Linked DNA regions of Oreochromis niloticus. The protein of the gene in region 2 purifies or fractionates together with the protein of the main gene of each other region. This does not show direct contact. Links are inferred from orthologs where the notes say so. Each region holds a gene or a part of one and is shown on either strand. Other genes may lie near its edges.

Region 1 (7,282 bases), on a different chromosome or scaffold from region 2:
TGCAGGCTAACCTGCTGAACCTTTAAATCAAAAATCTGAACGCTGTATGATGCAATGCTTTGTTTCAATGCATTTTGTTGGCTTTGTGTTCAGCTCTTGGATAACCTTTAGAGTAGAGTTGTACAACTGAAAGTGGAAGACAGTTGTGTGCAGCAGTAGCATTAAACCACCACGTTTCATCTGGGCTTTTTATTCTAGCGCAGGCTTTATATTCATTAAAGACAAAAAGGTTATAATACTGTAAGATATTCACTTGTCACTAAAGTAAAACTACTTTTAACAGTAATCATGCTACTTTTATGAGTTTGACTTTAATTTTTCTGGTTACTGTTTTACACAATATTGACACATTTTGGAATGAAACTCTTATTTTAACAATAAATATGTCCTTCATGACGAAAATAAAGGTCTTTTTTCCTTAAGGTAATTCTTCTGTGTGTGGTTTCTTCTTTCTGTCACAGAAGATGAGTGTGGCTGGGATGTGCAGGTGAGTGCCAAAATGGTCTCATAAATCACTTTGCTGAGATTTCATAACACACTTTCCTATACAAAGATGAGCTGTGCGTTGATGGAACATGACCTGAGGCGTTGGCTGTTAGACTTGCACGCCTGCATGGCATTAACATTCATAATGCTATGCAGAAGTTTTTTGTTTGTTTGTTTTTTTATGAAGAGTATTCTCTTATCCAGACATTCATGATGTTCCCCTTTGACCAAATGAAGAGACTCGAACACAGTTCTCTCTTAAACTCTGTCCATCTACAGCTGAGTTTTTAAATTAAATATTTTGAGGTGCAAGTTGATCTGTTGTGTCTGGCATTTCTCTTTTTGTCTGGTAAATTCCTTCAGCTAGCCAATCACAGCCCAGCCTGAAACAGAACGCTGTATTATTGTGTAATTACAAGGAAATAAAAGGAACGTGCACTGAAATTGTTTTCTGGTGTGTTTCAGCAACCAGTGCCTAAAACAAGCCAAAGAGGTTCTTCACTTTGACCTTTTGACCTCCAACTCTTGTTCTTGGTGGATTAAATCAACCCAGAACATAAGCAGCGTAAAGATAGATAAGCACTGATGCTCATATTCACAACTACAACCACTTATTGTATTCGTTTGGACTGTGGAAGGAAGCCAGAGCACCTAGAAGAAGATCCATAGGGACATGGAGTTGAACATGCATACTGCACACAGAAAAGCCCCATCTGGCTGTTGGATTTGAACCCAGGACCTTCGTGCTCTGAGGTAATGGTGCTAAGCACCACACCACTGTTGCTGCCCTATGCGTATGATGCAATGTAAAAATGTCATTTCATATATGTTTGAAAAAGCAATAATTAAAAAAATGATCCTGCATTGACCTGATGCCCTTATGGCTATTTTTATTCTCCTATCACAGTTAACCCCGTTCTGATACTCAAGAATTTCTATTACTATTGTTTCCATCAAATTTTGCGCAAATGCAAATTATAGTAAGTTTGCTTGTGATTTCTTAGCAATCGACACTAATGAGTAATGAACCCAGTTGCTGTTCCATATCCTCATGACTTTTACCTCTGGCTCTGGTACCTGATGAGTTGTTTGAGATTCTGTCCTCTCAGTGTTCTGAGTGGCAATTAAGTGTTTTTAATATTCTTCGTATCATCTGAAATTTGCCACAGTTCACAATGTTTTTTGCACCTCAGCTTACATAAACAAAGTCATGCTAGCGCATAATGTGCAATCTCATTTGCACAAATGTTTCTTGTAAATTTGCTAATATTTTCCGCAGTGTTAGTAGCAGTTTGTGTAAGCTTCTCTTCCAGGCTTCAGCAAAGTAACATCTTTGTTTGAAGCAGGTGCTCATTTGGTTATTTTGATCTCACTTCGGTGCCACACCCAGTGAACTCAAGGAGGCTAACCAGGTGTTTATTCATAGAATAGCTTTCTAAAAAAAAAAAGCCAAAAAAAAGCATTAGAGTAGTTCAGAATAAATGAAAGCAAGAGGAAAAAACTGAAGTCTACAAAACCTTCATTGGTGCACTCTTTTATCTTAACATTATGCGCCAAAAAAGCATTAGTGCTTCAAGTTTTTAAAGATAATTTTATTTGGTGTCTTGTGTGACTTTATACATCTGCACTTGACTATAGTTGTATTAAACTGGAACCAACACAGTCTTGTATCCCTACATGTTCAAATGTGTCCACTTGAACTCATTTCCACTTGAATTTATTTAAGAATTTTATACACCTGCTTATTGAAATTTTGAGTAAAACAATCAAATTGTCCCTGGTGAGTTTGGTCTAAGGTATTTATTCATTACCATACAGATTTGAGCATTTATGCATTACTTTTAGCCTTTTCAACAATTTAGACTTATGCTTATACTATTTAACTTCTAAATGCAGTTTAAACATTACTGAAATATTTTCTGCTTACAATATATATTTGTCATGGTTCTGGGTCTGTGACCCAGCTTTCTGAGTTTTGCCGTGTTTTGAGTTTTCTGTGAGCTCGTTTTGTTTTGGATTTTGAGATACAGTTTATGTTCTAGCTCTGCATCTAGTCCTTTCAGCATAATGTTTCCTTGTGCTTCTTAGTTTCCCTTTGTTTCCAGTCTGTGTTTCTCATAAGATTATGTCATCTTTTGTTATCATCTTTTGTGTTCCCTTTCTCCTCAGTCAGTCATGTCTCTGCATTTATCTCCTGCCGCTGTGTGAAGTTCACGTGTGTTGGTCTCAGTGTTTGTTGCTTCCTGTTTTATTCTGATAGTCACTCATCTCCTCTAGGTTGTGTTATTTTTGCTTCCCATTGTCTCCTTAGATTCCATTCAGCTGTGTTCCCTGGTGTTTCCTATCTCCATAATTACCTGGTGTGTATGTTGCCTGACTTTCCCTTTGTCTTCTGCCAAACTGTGTGTTTCTTCCTCCTGTGTCTCAAAGTTAGGTTTCTCTCTTTGTTCATTCTTCGTGTTACGATTCTTAGCAATAAAGCTGCTTTTGAGTTTTACATCTGGCTTTCTGAGTCCTGTGTTTGTGTCCAACCCTGCCTGCCACACAGCAATATTTTCTCCGCTATTATGTTCAACTAATAATTTTTCAGTAATGGTTAGGTCTTGTAATAATTCATCAATAGCTTTTGGCCTATAGTTTAATCATTCATCACTTTATCTGCTTCTACTGTGTGGAGATACTATTAGTTATTACTGTTATTAATAGAATTGTTTAATTACGAGAAAATATTCATCCAGTTTTCCCAATTACTCATCAGCTTTAATCATTTCTGCCTCCCTTGTTTATAAATAACTTTCAATGAATTAAAAATGGTTTTAATTTTTATTAATTTGTATTATTTTCTTTCTTACTCCTTAAGTTCATTCGTGTTGCTATCACAAACAAATGCTCACCATTTTTGTTTGTAATAGTTTATTTGCACTACAATCATCAATAAACAATTGAAATTAAGTTCCTGGAGATAGAGTAGATAAAGGCTGACTTGTTTGTCCCAATTCAACAAAAGTTTGGCTATGACAGCGTCAACTTCTGGGTTTTCTCATAAAGTCCTACAGTATAACTGATCCAGTGTCATAGCAAAGTATTGAAATTAAATTACAGAATAATTACAGAATAAAGATAGTAAATGAATAGCCCAGAGTTAATAAGAAATAAGGTGCTTCTCAAAATAAACAGCAAAGAGGAGTTCCTCTTCCGTTAACTGAGATAAGCTTTCACACTGAGGAAGGCAAGAGCTGACATCTCTGTGCATGTCGCTCTAAACCTAAAAGCAAATGAGAGCTTTGAAAAATGTGAAAACAACTTCATCATCGTGCCAACCCGTTTCTTTTATTGACACGCCAATCAGACGCACCTAAAATGTGTTTCTCTCGCAGTCCCTCTGGCTGAAAACAGCAGGGTGCCAGCTGGCGTCTCTCCACGATGAGCTGACACAAGAATGTAAACAGACCAGAGTGGCCAGCACGACTTCACAACCTGATGAAGCTGACACCTTGAAAAACTGGGTTCACTAACCAAAATATAAATGTGATCTTATGAAGCAGCTGATGACAGGCGTGATTTTAGATGTGCTGAAATAGCTGAACTATATATTTCTTTCTTCCCTCTATCCATTATAACCGCTTGGATTTTTTCCCCCGTAGGCTAAGGTATGGCAAGTGTCCACACCTTGCCAGGTTCAATTAACTCCCACGTTTCACTGAACAAAACACTTATTATACTCTGCTGTGATCCCTAAATAAGAAATTCCATGCCGGCTACAAACACCCTTTCAGTCTGAGATCACGTCAGTCTCTCCTCCAGCCGAGCAGGTTCCAGGGTGGCTCTCCTGTCTGCTCACTGGTGACTACCCAGCTGCGCTCTGCGGTATCCGAGGAAACACTGGAGGTTTCCCCGTACGCGCTTGTGCATTGAATTTTAGTCACGTCCAACAAAAAGGGCAGGAATAACTTCACTATACAGGACTCTGAGAGAAAAGACCCCGTCCTCCCAGTTTGCATCCACGCCTCCCTCTCTGCTTCCTATATTATCTTTTTTTTTGTCTGTTTCAACGTGCTAATCTCTCCAAACGTGAGGACAGCATGACAGGAGGACTGAAGGACGGCGAGACAGAAGAGGTACAGTATAGCTCTCAGCTATAGTTCTTTTAATTTTTGGTTGTTTGTTTGTAGCTGACATTTACTTTTCTTCCAGGAGCTGATTACCCCCCCTCAAAAAAAAAAAAAAAAAAAAAAAAAAAAAAAAAATGCGTTCACGAGGGAAAAATGAATGCGCTATGTTTCAGTCCTTATCTTGCGCTCTGGCACCCAGTCATGAGCACTTCTCCCACACAGGCTAAGAGAATGACAAGGTCGATGCAGTTTACATTAGAATGTGGGTGTGAGGATTTTACCTGCTAAGTCCTCTTTCAGCACAGTAACCGATTATTTACGCACAAACATTTAAAGTGTACATTTCAATGCGTTTAAAAAAGGAGGAAACAAATCCAGTTTTTACCGTAAAATTCTGAATTTCAGTCACAAATCTTCCCTGTCCTTTAATACCAACTGAGATCGTGTGGTGTGCGTAATAATATAAGGTGCTTGCCTCGTAGGATTGAGGAGGATCATAAGCGCTAAAGGGGTCTTTACGTATTTTTAAAGGATAAAAACACAAGTCCAGTAAGTTATTGCATACTTAATGTGAACATATTACAAATGACATTGCAAATATAACTGAATTCGTGATTTTTCTTTTACTTTCTAAATATATATTTTTGGTGTAGGAAGAGTATTAATTGGAAATTCTTTCATATTTAAAAATAACGCCTTTGCACCTTTCTTAAAAGTGTTTCATTGTCATGGGTAGACTACACGTTGAATCAACTGTATGTCATGTTAACATACTGGATTAGTGTCTGGGTGGTGAGGACCCCTTGCGGCTGGATGAAGGGGTGTGGTACTTTACTTTCTATTCACTTAAACCCATCCCTGTTTGTGGGGAAGCCTGGTAACTTGCAGCTCCAGTCGCTCTCTCTCTCAGCGCGCTACACACTATTCCTTCTCCTCTTCACCCTCTTCTCCTTCTGTCTCCCCCGGATCCTTGCAGGAGTTTCTGCATTCGCCGTTTATCCGAAAACAAGGGAACATATATAAACCCAACAACAAAGACATGGACAACGACAGTCTCAACGAGAAAACGATGGAGGATGTCCACACCAAAGAGATCGACCTGGTCAACCGGGATCCCAAACACATAAACGACGACGTTGTTAAGGTGAGTTAAACCTCAAAATTGGTAACTTGTGAGATTCATGTTTTTTCGTCCATGGCAACCGAAACCACCTGTTGCCGAGTTTACACAGGGCTTAGCTGTATGACAGGCGCTGTAAACTGAAATAATCTCTGATAAACGATGTCCATTTTATTTCTATGAGCTGTCAAACAGGTTATCTGCGCGTCGGACACGCATGCAGTTCTTTTGCGCACCTTTGCTATGCTCCGTGCAAGTGTTACCACTCAGTGTCTTCCCCTATTAGGAAGAAGCTTTGCAAACGTATTAAAGATCATTGAGCGGCGGCGATACAATGGCATGCAGTGCCCTTCTGCACATTTGTTTGTGGAGTGGGTTTGAAACGTGAACGTCCCAACTTCGCTCCAACAGAGGAAACATAACCAATTTCCTGTTGTTGGAACACACATTTCCCACAGTCCTCCCTGCACACGCCTGTCTAATGGGAAAGTAGAATTCTGTACATAACAGAGAAGCCTGGTCGGATAAATACTCAGTATTTATTTTTGTTAAAAGGATTTAGCACAGGGAGAGATGTTATAGCGGCAAAGGAGTGGTGCGCTGCAAGCCACCTGACTCATCTGTGTGGGAGAGAGGAGCTGCAGCCGTGTGCGCCCGGCGGTGCTCCTCTCCAGCTGGTGCATCTGGTTACATCAGAGTGGGGTCAAGCAGCTCCCTGCGTGTTCAGGAAGGGTCAGATCTTTGAAATGCCTGAACTCTGCTTTGTTAAAACAGGGAAACACCCAAGTGGGCGATTAGTCTGAGGGGATCCCTCACCACTCCTTATCCTCCCTTCTTTCCTCCCATTCTGCCACTGCCCCCTCCGTTTCCTCCCCGCATGCCTGTAGTTGCGTCAGAGAAGTGAGTCCATTTGTTTCTTTTTCTTGGCGAATACAAGGTTTTCAGTAGAAATGAGTGCCCATCGCTGCTGAATTAACTAATCAGACCATAACTACTGAACATAACCTTTCTCTTTAAAAAAATACATACATGTGGTAAAGTTTCATCCCCTGCCAAATTGACTGATGAAAACATACTGACAGAGCATTTTGATTAAAACAACTATAATGCACATATACAAGGAATGCATTAAAAATGTTGTGCTCATTTAATTTTCTGTTATTACATGACACTCATTTCACATACAACCTGCCCAAAAAAGTACATTTTGTCTTCCATTTCTCGTTAAATATTTGAAAACACTTCGTTTTTATGGAATTTATCACTGTCTGAGAGGCATGTGTGTCACTGCCAGTTTGTGCATTTTTCCCATATGACGCACAAGTCTACATAAAATGTGCTATGAACATGATGAATTTCCATTTTTGTACGAGAAAGGAAGCTTTTTCAAAATATTTGTTGCTGGGTTTGGAAAGAAAAAGTCTCTTATTCTCTAGTTTTTCTGGTTGCTGCTTCTATCCCAACGTCTTCCACCACTCTCTGGCTGCTCTCTCCCTGCTCTCCTCCATTGTGACAGTGAGTCAGACTCTCCTTCCAGTCTCAGAATAGAATGCAGCTTCACGAT
Region 2 (7,625 bases):
CTGCACAGAGAAAAAAAAGGCCCCTGCGGAAGAGATCAGCAAAATCTCATCTGCAAGTCCGAGAAGGTATCAGAAACCAAGAACTCCTTCTTCCCAGAGGAACTGCTGCTGTTTTGCTGTTTTCCCTTAAATTAGAGTTTGTATTGATTTTGTATTTCAGTAAAATACCAATACTGACTCCCTACAGCTAGATCAGTCGAGCTTGACAATAACAGAGAAAATCTGGAGTCCTCTCGGGGACAAAGAGGATATTTTGGGCATTCATAGGACTGTAAAAAATGGCTAAAGCATTCCTAAAACCCAGTGTGTCATATCATTGACTAAATCATCGACTTCTAGGAGTAGCAGACTGGATTTTCAACCTGATGCTGTCAGTGAAACAAGAGGCTGCAATGTTTCACAAAAGCCACTTTACTTGGAGCAAAACTGGGTTGATTTGTTGGGTCAAAACAATCAAAACATCACCTACAAAACAGAAGTAGTATCGACTATTCCAATTTAAAGTAATTGACCAAAAAAATAGTCCTCTGGGGCTCTTAATGCACTCGTCTGCACAAAGTCAATGCTACTTAAGTATTTTGTGAGCTCTGGGTAACTGTACCTGGAGTGTCGTAAGCTGTCCTTCTTGTTTTTAACATTGCAGAGCGTGCACTCACAGCCAACAGCGTGAGGCCGGGGGAGAGAGATGTCCTGCTTGAGCAGCATGGTCAGGATCTCGTAGTTGTTCCTGTGGGCTGCCAGGATGACTGGAGCCACATCCATGGTGGTGGAATACTCTGGATTCTGGATGCGCTGCATCAGTTTCTGACAAGAGCATGGATTAAAAAAAAAATCTAAAATACTGTAGGGGAATTATAGATAAGCAAGTTTTTGCCTTAATGGTGTTTGTTTTCTTGAAAAAGAGTAATAAGAGCAGACTTACAGCAATAGAGGGCTTAGAAGATCTCCTTGGCCTGTGGTTAAGGAGAATGTCCACAGCTCCTACCACCTCTGAGTCTATGGCCACCAGCAAAGCATCTGTTGCCTACACAGAAAGAAATGCACGATTTTAGTGATGTAAATGATGTCTTGTGTATATTATTTTGCCCCAAGTCTGTGCTTTCTCGTTACCTGGCAGCCATACTCCAAGAGCAGCTGAAGGATGTCCAGATTCTCATTCTCGATGGCGATGGTCACTGCATCTCGGCCCAGCACGTCCACACAGTTGATGTTGAGCTCGCCGTGTCTGTTCTCCTCCAGCAGTTTCTTCACCATGTAGTAGTCACCTGAGAAGCAAGTCAATGACAAAGCAGCACATCATAAATGTGATCCACCTTGGCAAGTTCTCACAAAGGCGGATCCTTTGAAGAAGCGAAGCATTAGTCTAAGCGCGGTGCCAAAACGACACAAACACACAGCGCCGGTTATCAGGCGAGCTCTCTCAGAGAACAGGCTCGGCTCCAGCGGCAACCCTTAATCTTGTGTAACAATAACATCTCCCTCAAAGGACAATTTCTGTTGCTGGGCCACGTTTAGGGAGACTTTATATGGTCACAGTGGCAGTTATTGGCTTAGCACACCTCTGCCTGTACAATGTTCTCAACTTATCAATGAAATATTCTCCCGCCACGGTGACCAGTTGAGAAAACCCATGCCTCTTTGTTATTTTACACTTACACTGTCCACGTCTTGCCTTGCTGGCATTTAGCTTGTTTGCATGAACTTTCCATGTTGGGGTTTGTGAAACGTCAGGAGACCAGGGAGCGAAACTTAAAGTGGAGCAGACATTTAACTATTAACTGCCCCTTGGGTAAATTTCCACAGTATCCAAAGTGTGGGCAGCTGTGAGTGGTATACACTGGAGTGGGGGGATCTGTAATGATTGAGTAGTTTGCCAGCTGCTAAATGAGCCTGTATGACATCTGCCATGCTGTCACTCCGTGTGCGCTCTACCTCCTATATCAGACATGTAGCTTCAGCATCCCTAATGATCACAATAACGAGCTTCCCTCAGATCGTAGTCACGTGTTGCACGGACATCCCATTGCATTGCAAACAGGGAACAACAGCCCAGATATTAAATTAGACGAAACAAGAGCCAAACCTTTCTCGCATGCCAGCAGGAAGAGCTTCTCGTCCAGAGTCGTCTCCTCTTTCACTTCTCTCACGTCTTTCAAGGCCAGGAATTTGTCCGGAGAGGAAGCGTCCGTGCCATGGTACAGAGCTGCCATTACGACGGAGAGCGAGTACGGCAAGACGCTGATGTGCATCCCACTAGAAACCGACGACCATTACACGAGAAATCCCGTCATATGCGATGACATGTGAGGAATGCTTCTGTAGTTGCGCAGCAGAGGTTTAAAGCGGCCGACTTAAACCAGTGTCAGTAATCGCTGGCATTACCGTCCCAGCTCCGGTGCGTGCGCTTTTCCCTTTTTGGGGGTTAAAATATCGCCTCCTGTAGCCCTTTTCGCACCATCGATCTCAAACGTGGGGTTAAAAAGTGTTCACGGCGACGGCAAGTAGACGAAACAACGCGGTCATTTCTCGCGGCGTGTTTACAAGCACCATCTTCTCACTCGCATCGCAGTGGTCCTGATGCTGCTGGCGAGGCGTGCACTGCGCATGTTTCCTCCTCCACCTGCTTGATCGTTTCGCAGGCGCAAAGCCTCTTCTCCGTGATTACGTAACAGTGCATCTTTGCCGTGTACAGTACACTGTGTAGATTCACAGCGTGTGAGCGTTCACTGTGACAGTGCATGCACATGTGCTGACTCTGAAGCATGCACGTAAACTGCACACACACAGCACGTTAAGCGCTAAAGACTGGGAGATAAAGACAGAAATCAGCAATGGTTGTGGCTCCTGCTCAGGTCACTTCCTGCAGTAATGTGGAAGTCCTGATGGAAATGCTGTGTTGGGACATGCATGGGTGACATTTAGTGCACATGGATATGGATATGGCGGCATATGGCCTCACATAATCCGTGACAGACTCTTAGGAAATACATCTGGTATCCTGATTCAGTGAAATCTCTTTATAATTATGCTGAAATGTAAACGTGTCTGTGTTTAAAGCACCTTATGTCAGCTTCTGTTGTTTAAATGTTCTATAGCCTATAGATGAAGTAAACAGTGATAACAAAAAAACATTTTTCATAGTGGATCTCTTGGATATACGTTTTATTTCCAAAAAAGTATTTTACACAATGAGTGGGCTATATTGCACTTAACAGAGAGAAACAAAGTATCAGTCATATTGCACTAGTATCTGATACTATCATTGTTTTCGAGACTTTTGCTTTTGGAATCAATCCACCCACTTTTAACAACCTGCAAAGAATATTGCTAAGAAATGCTGTAACCACTGAAAGAAAGGGTTTAATATGGACTGGAATACAGTTTTAGGGCACATGTACTTCATTCAGTTCATTCACTACAGAAAAGCAATGAAGAAGTGAAATCAAAAGAAAGCACAAAATGTAACAAGCCTTCACATCCAACTCAATAAGCCATAATGAAGTGACAGTGAGTCAGCGTGCTTAGTGATAAAGCATTGATAATTAATGCTCAGCTCTCTTATGCAGGCCGAGTAAAGACCAAGATTATTATTATTATTACATTTGAAATCAGATGTCATTAAAGACGACCTTTGGTTTTTCTATAAATGTAACACAGTTGGCTTCTAAAATGTAGAAAGGTCTTTGTTTCTTTCTTTTAAAAAAATAAGAAATGTGTGAATATTGAATATTGGCTTGCAAATCATCACCACACACATTTCTGATGATGTAAGCCAAATATATTACTTTACTCACCACGCTCAGCACTTGCACTGCCAAACAGAACAAATACCATGCACTGAAACAGAAGTAATTTCCTGGGCGGGTTTCTGTCACTGTGTGAATACATGTTGAAAATAGGGCGTGGAGGGAAACGTGCACTTTCAGTATTCTCTGCTGTGTTTTTGAGTTCACTGTTTGACTTGATACAAGAAAAACACATTCAATGAAGGGCTCTTTGCTTTCCAACGGCACCGAATCCTAATATGGCTTTTGTTGTATGAAGTTTTATAAACATCTGTAAAATGCAGGTGGAATGAAGCGGTTGCACAGTAGGAAAGGTTTCATATTAAAAACAAGCTTCCTTATAAAAGAATAAGATTAAACGATTTTTCTTAAACCAAGCTCCATTAACACCATACACTTATATTTTTATCTATATGCTTGCACACTGAAAAACGAATATAAATTAGTATGTCATATGTATGATTAATATATTTGTTCATGATGTGGAAGTCTGCTGTTAAGTAGATCCTTTTTAAGGGTGGGACCTCAATGCTCCAGCAGAGGGCAGTCTGCACAAAGGTATTTCGCTGTAGACACCCGCATTGGATGAGAAAATAAAAATGAAGATATATTGAAAGCACACGTTACCGAGAACAGGAAGGAAATACTGTATAGTCAACACAAAGCCTAATATGTCGCTCTTCAGAAGGACTCACTCCATGCACAGCACTTGAGCAGGGCTTGATGAGAAACAGTATAGTAAAATCACAACGGGGATATTACCCTACATATTTAGAGGCTCCTCGCTGGGGAGGGTCAAGGGACTCGAGCGGTTTCAATTCATTCAGTCTATGCTCTCCCCACCCCGCTTGTTCAAGGTTGTAATGCCGCACAGGCAAGCGTCTTAGGAAAGATGATTTTCAATCTGCAGAGCATGTGTTTCCCTTCATACAACCACATGGCCTTTCCAGTTCCCGGGGAACAGCTGTCAAATGTCCCATTTCAGCTGATTCCACTTGAGAGGAGTGCTTGTCACTGCCGCTGAGTGTTTCTATCACGTCCAATGAAAAATTATTACATCCTCTACAATCATACTGTAGTCCATCACTCTCAGATCAGTTTAAAATTCAAGTGTTTCTATTTTTTAAAAATTAGATTTCATCTTATTAGATAAATAATTCAGCGGTATGTGCATAGCTCTTTTGTAATGAAACAGGGTTTTTCTTTGCTGCTTTTAAGACAAACCCCGGGCTACCCTCTTGTGGCTGTAGTGAGTGGGGGGGGGGGCTAATACATTTAATTTGAAATATTGATTCTCTCCTGCAGTCACACACGATGAGGAGGACGTGGGTAAAAGGAAAAGTAAAGACTGGCTTTGGAATAAAACCACGGCCTTAAGACTTTTAAAAAAAAAAAGAAATACTAAAAATAGGTTGTATATCGAAAAAAGGGAACAAAAAAACAAAACAGAAAACCCGCCAATCGCTTTCAGTGGGTAGAGACAAGAGGCCGGAGCACGGTTCAGACAATGTGAGGTGGACTTCACCTAAACATAACAACAGCACCGCCACCATCCATCCCCCATGCCCTCCTCATCTACCGTTGCTGTGATCTGTCGGAGCGTCCATTAACGTGACGGGCTCGCAGTAGGTCCAATGACGTAAGCTGGCTGACGAGCGTCGGCTCGTCTCGCTCCAATGCGCTCTCTCGGAGGGCGGGTCTTGGTCCTGCTATTCAGATTGAATCGGCCCAGTTTGTATTAGTTGGACGAGCAGAAGAACGAGACGGAGAAACGTGTAAGAGCCCTAACTGCGAATAAAAGCGTTTCTCTGCTCCATCATGGCAGCTGCGGAGTAATTTTGAGGATCCGGCCCGTCGCACGGAATCGTGACCGACGCCCGAATCCACCGCATTTCTGAGGATGTTTCAGCTGGTAATTGCGCGAGGATGCTTCCGCTGAACGTGCCCAAACTGGGCGTCTGTTACAATGCTGAAGGCTTCTTGGTTTTTGTTTTGAACGCGGGCCAAACACAGAATCACTGCAACGCCTGATATGGACAACTTTAACGCTCCCCTCTTCTACCATTTCTATGACGAACATTGCGCAGTGCAGTGAAAAGGCTATATCGTTTCGTGGCTGTCGAACTGGTGCCGAATACATTACCTAATTCATCTGGTTGTTAATTCCCGGTGCAGCCCATAAACACACTACCGAGCGTGTTGGTGCACAGTCAATGTAAGGAGCTTCGTCCAGCGGTGAGAGCCACTCTCCGAGGTTACAGATGAGAGGCAAACAATATCATCAACCACTAAAGTTGACAGCGCCTTGGGAGAAGGATGCAGGCTTTGGAAGGAAGCTTAAAACATACAGGAATCATACCAAGATAATAGCACAGCCTGGGATCGTGATGAAAGTGCTACGCAGAAAGAGGATTGTGTTGTTTATGGCCTATTTGTTACTGCTCGTGCTTACTATGCTTAACTTGGCTAATTATAAATGGACTAAGGAGCCGCAGCAGTGTAATCATCAGATGAGGAGCACCACTTATCAGAGCAGATCTGACATTCGCTTCCTGTACAGGCCCTCTCTGGCTAAGAAGAGGCAGCTTATCTATGTGCTGACCACCTGGAGGTCAGGCTCTTCCTTTTTTGGGGAGCTGTTTAATCAAAATCCAGACGTGTTCTTCTTGTATGAGCCAATGTGGCACATCTGGCAGAAACTGTACCCCGGTGATGCCGTGTCGTTGCAAGGGGCGGCCAGGGACATGCTTAGCTCCTTATACCGCTGTGATCTGTCTGTTTTCCAACTTTACAACAGCCCGGGAGGTAAGAATTTCACCTCCCTCGGACTGTTTGGGGCCACCCTCAATAAAGTGGTGTGCTCATATCCCCTCTGCTCAGCCTACAGGAAGGAGGTGGTGGGGATGGTGGATGATAAGGTGTGTAAAAAGTGTCCCCCTCAAAGCCTTAGATTGTTAGAGGAAGAGTGCCTGAAATATAGCACCATAGTCATTAAAGGGGTCCGCATATTGGATGTAAATGTGCTGGCCCCGCTTATGGAGGATCCGTCCTTGGATTTGAAGGTGATACACTTAGTCAGAGACCCACGGGCAGTAGCCAACTCCAGGATCAAATCCAGACACGGTCTGATAAGGGAAAATTTACAGGTGGTCCGCAGCAGAGACCCCAAACTCCGGCGGATACCTTTCGTGGACCCTGGGCACAAAGCTAACAAGAAGGATGGCTCAGACTACCACTCCATTGGAGCCATGGAGGTGATCTGCGACCGCACTTCCAGGACTTTGAGGACTGCCATAAACCCACCCAGCTGGCTGAAGGGGAAGTACATGGCTGTACGTTACGAAGACCTGGTCGAAAACCCAGTTAAGACCCTGAGGAGCGTCTACCGCTTTGCCAACCTCACTACCAACCATGACATTGAGATGTTTGCTTTGAACATGACCAGTGGCTCCAGTTCCTCATCTAAGCCATTTATAGTCTCCTCCAGGAATGCCACACAAGCTGCAAGTGCATGGAGAACAGTGCTCAGCATCCAACAGATCAAACAAGTGGAAGACTACTGCCACCACTCCATGTCAGTTCTAGGTTACGAGAGAGTGAGAACAGCCGGGGAGGCCAAGGACTTGAGCAAATCACTACTGACACACTCCAGACTGTGAAAACATCCTCACCACCAAAGACCATTTAATTTAATGTTCATTTTGCATACAGTGCTGTTTCCTTATATTGTGGAATTAAAGCTTTACTTTGAATCAATGTTCCTGGATCTACATCGGCCGCATTTGGAATGTACCGTCAGTCGAGCGGTTGCAGCTCCGTTCAAAGGGACCACTTCTTTTA

Evidence for each region. The genes of interacting proteins can lie anywhere in the genome.
Region 1: the proteins of trpc1 (region 2) and cav1 purify together in Homo sapiens (affinity purification with western blotting; 3 studies listed by BioGRID and IntAct, with this or other methods). This does not show direct contact. The link is inferred for Oreochromis niloticus from reciprocal best matches to the Homo sapiens genes TRPC1 and CAV1.

Annotation. Positions count from the first base shown.
Region 1 is NC_031972.2:41,354,040-41,361,321, reverse strand, and holds the start of cav1 (caveolin-1), read left to right. Parts: upstream 1-4,278; 5' UTR 4,279-4,568; coding exon 4,569-4,604; intron 4,605-5,574; coding exon 5,575-5,742; intron 5,743-7,282. UniProt on the Homo sapiens protein: May act as a scaffolding protein within caveolar membranes. Forms a stable heterooligomeric complex with CAV2 that targets to lipid rafts and drives caveolae formation. Mediates the recruitment of CAVIN proteins (CAVIN1/2/3/4) to the caveolae.
Region 2 is NC_031974.2:17,252,305-17,259,929, forward strand, and holds the start of trpc1 (short transient receptor potential channel 1), read right to left. Parts: upstream 3,007-7,625; 5' UTR 2,250-3,006; coding exon 2,084-2,249; intron 1,266-2,083; coding exon 1,111-1,265; intron 1,025-1,110; coding exon 923-1,024; intron 805-922; coding exon 602-804; intron 1-601. Other genes in the region: chst2b (carbohydrate sulfotransferase 2), read left to right, coding at 6,047-7,444. UniProt on the Homo sapiens protein: Forms a receptor-activated non-selective calcium permeant cation channel. Forms a heteromeric ion channel with TRPC4 or TRPC5 that has reduced calcium permeability compared to the homomeric TRPC4 or TRPC5 channel.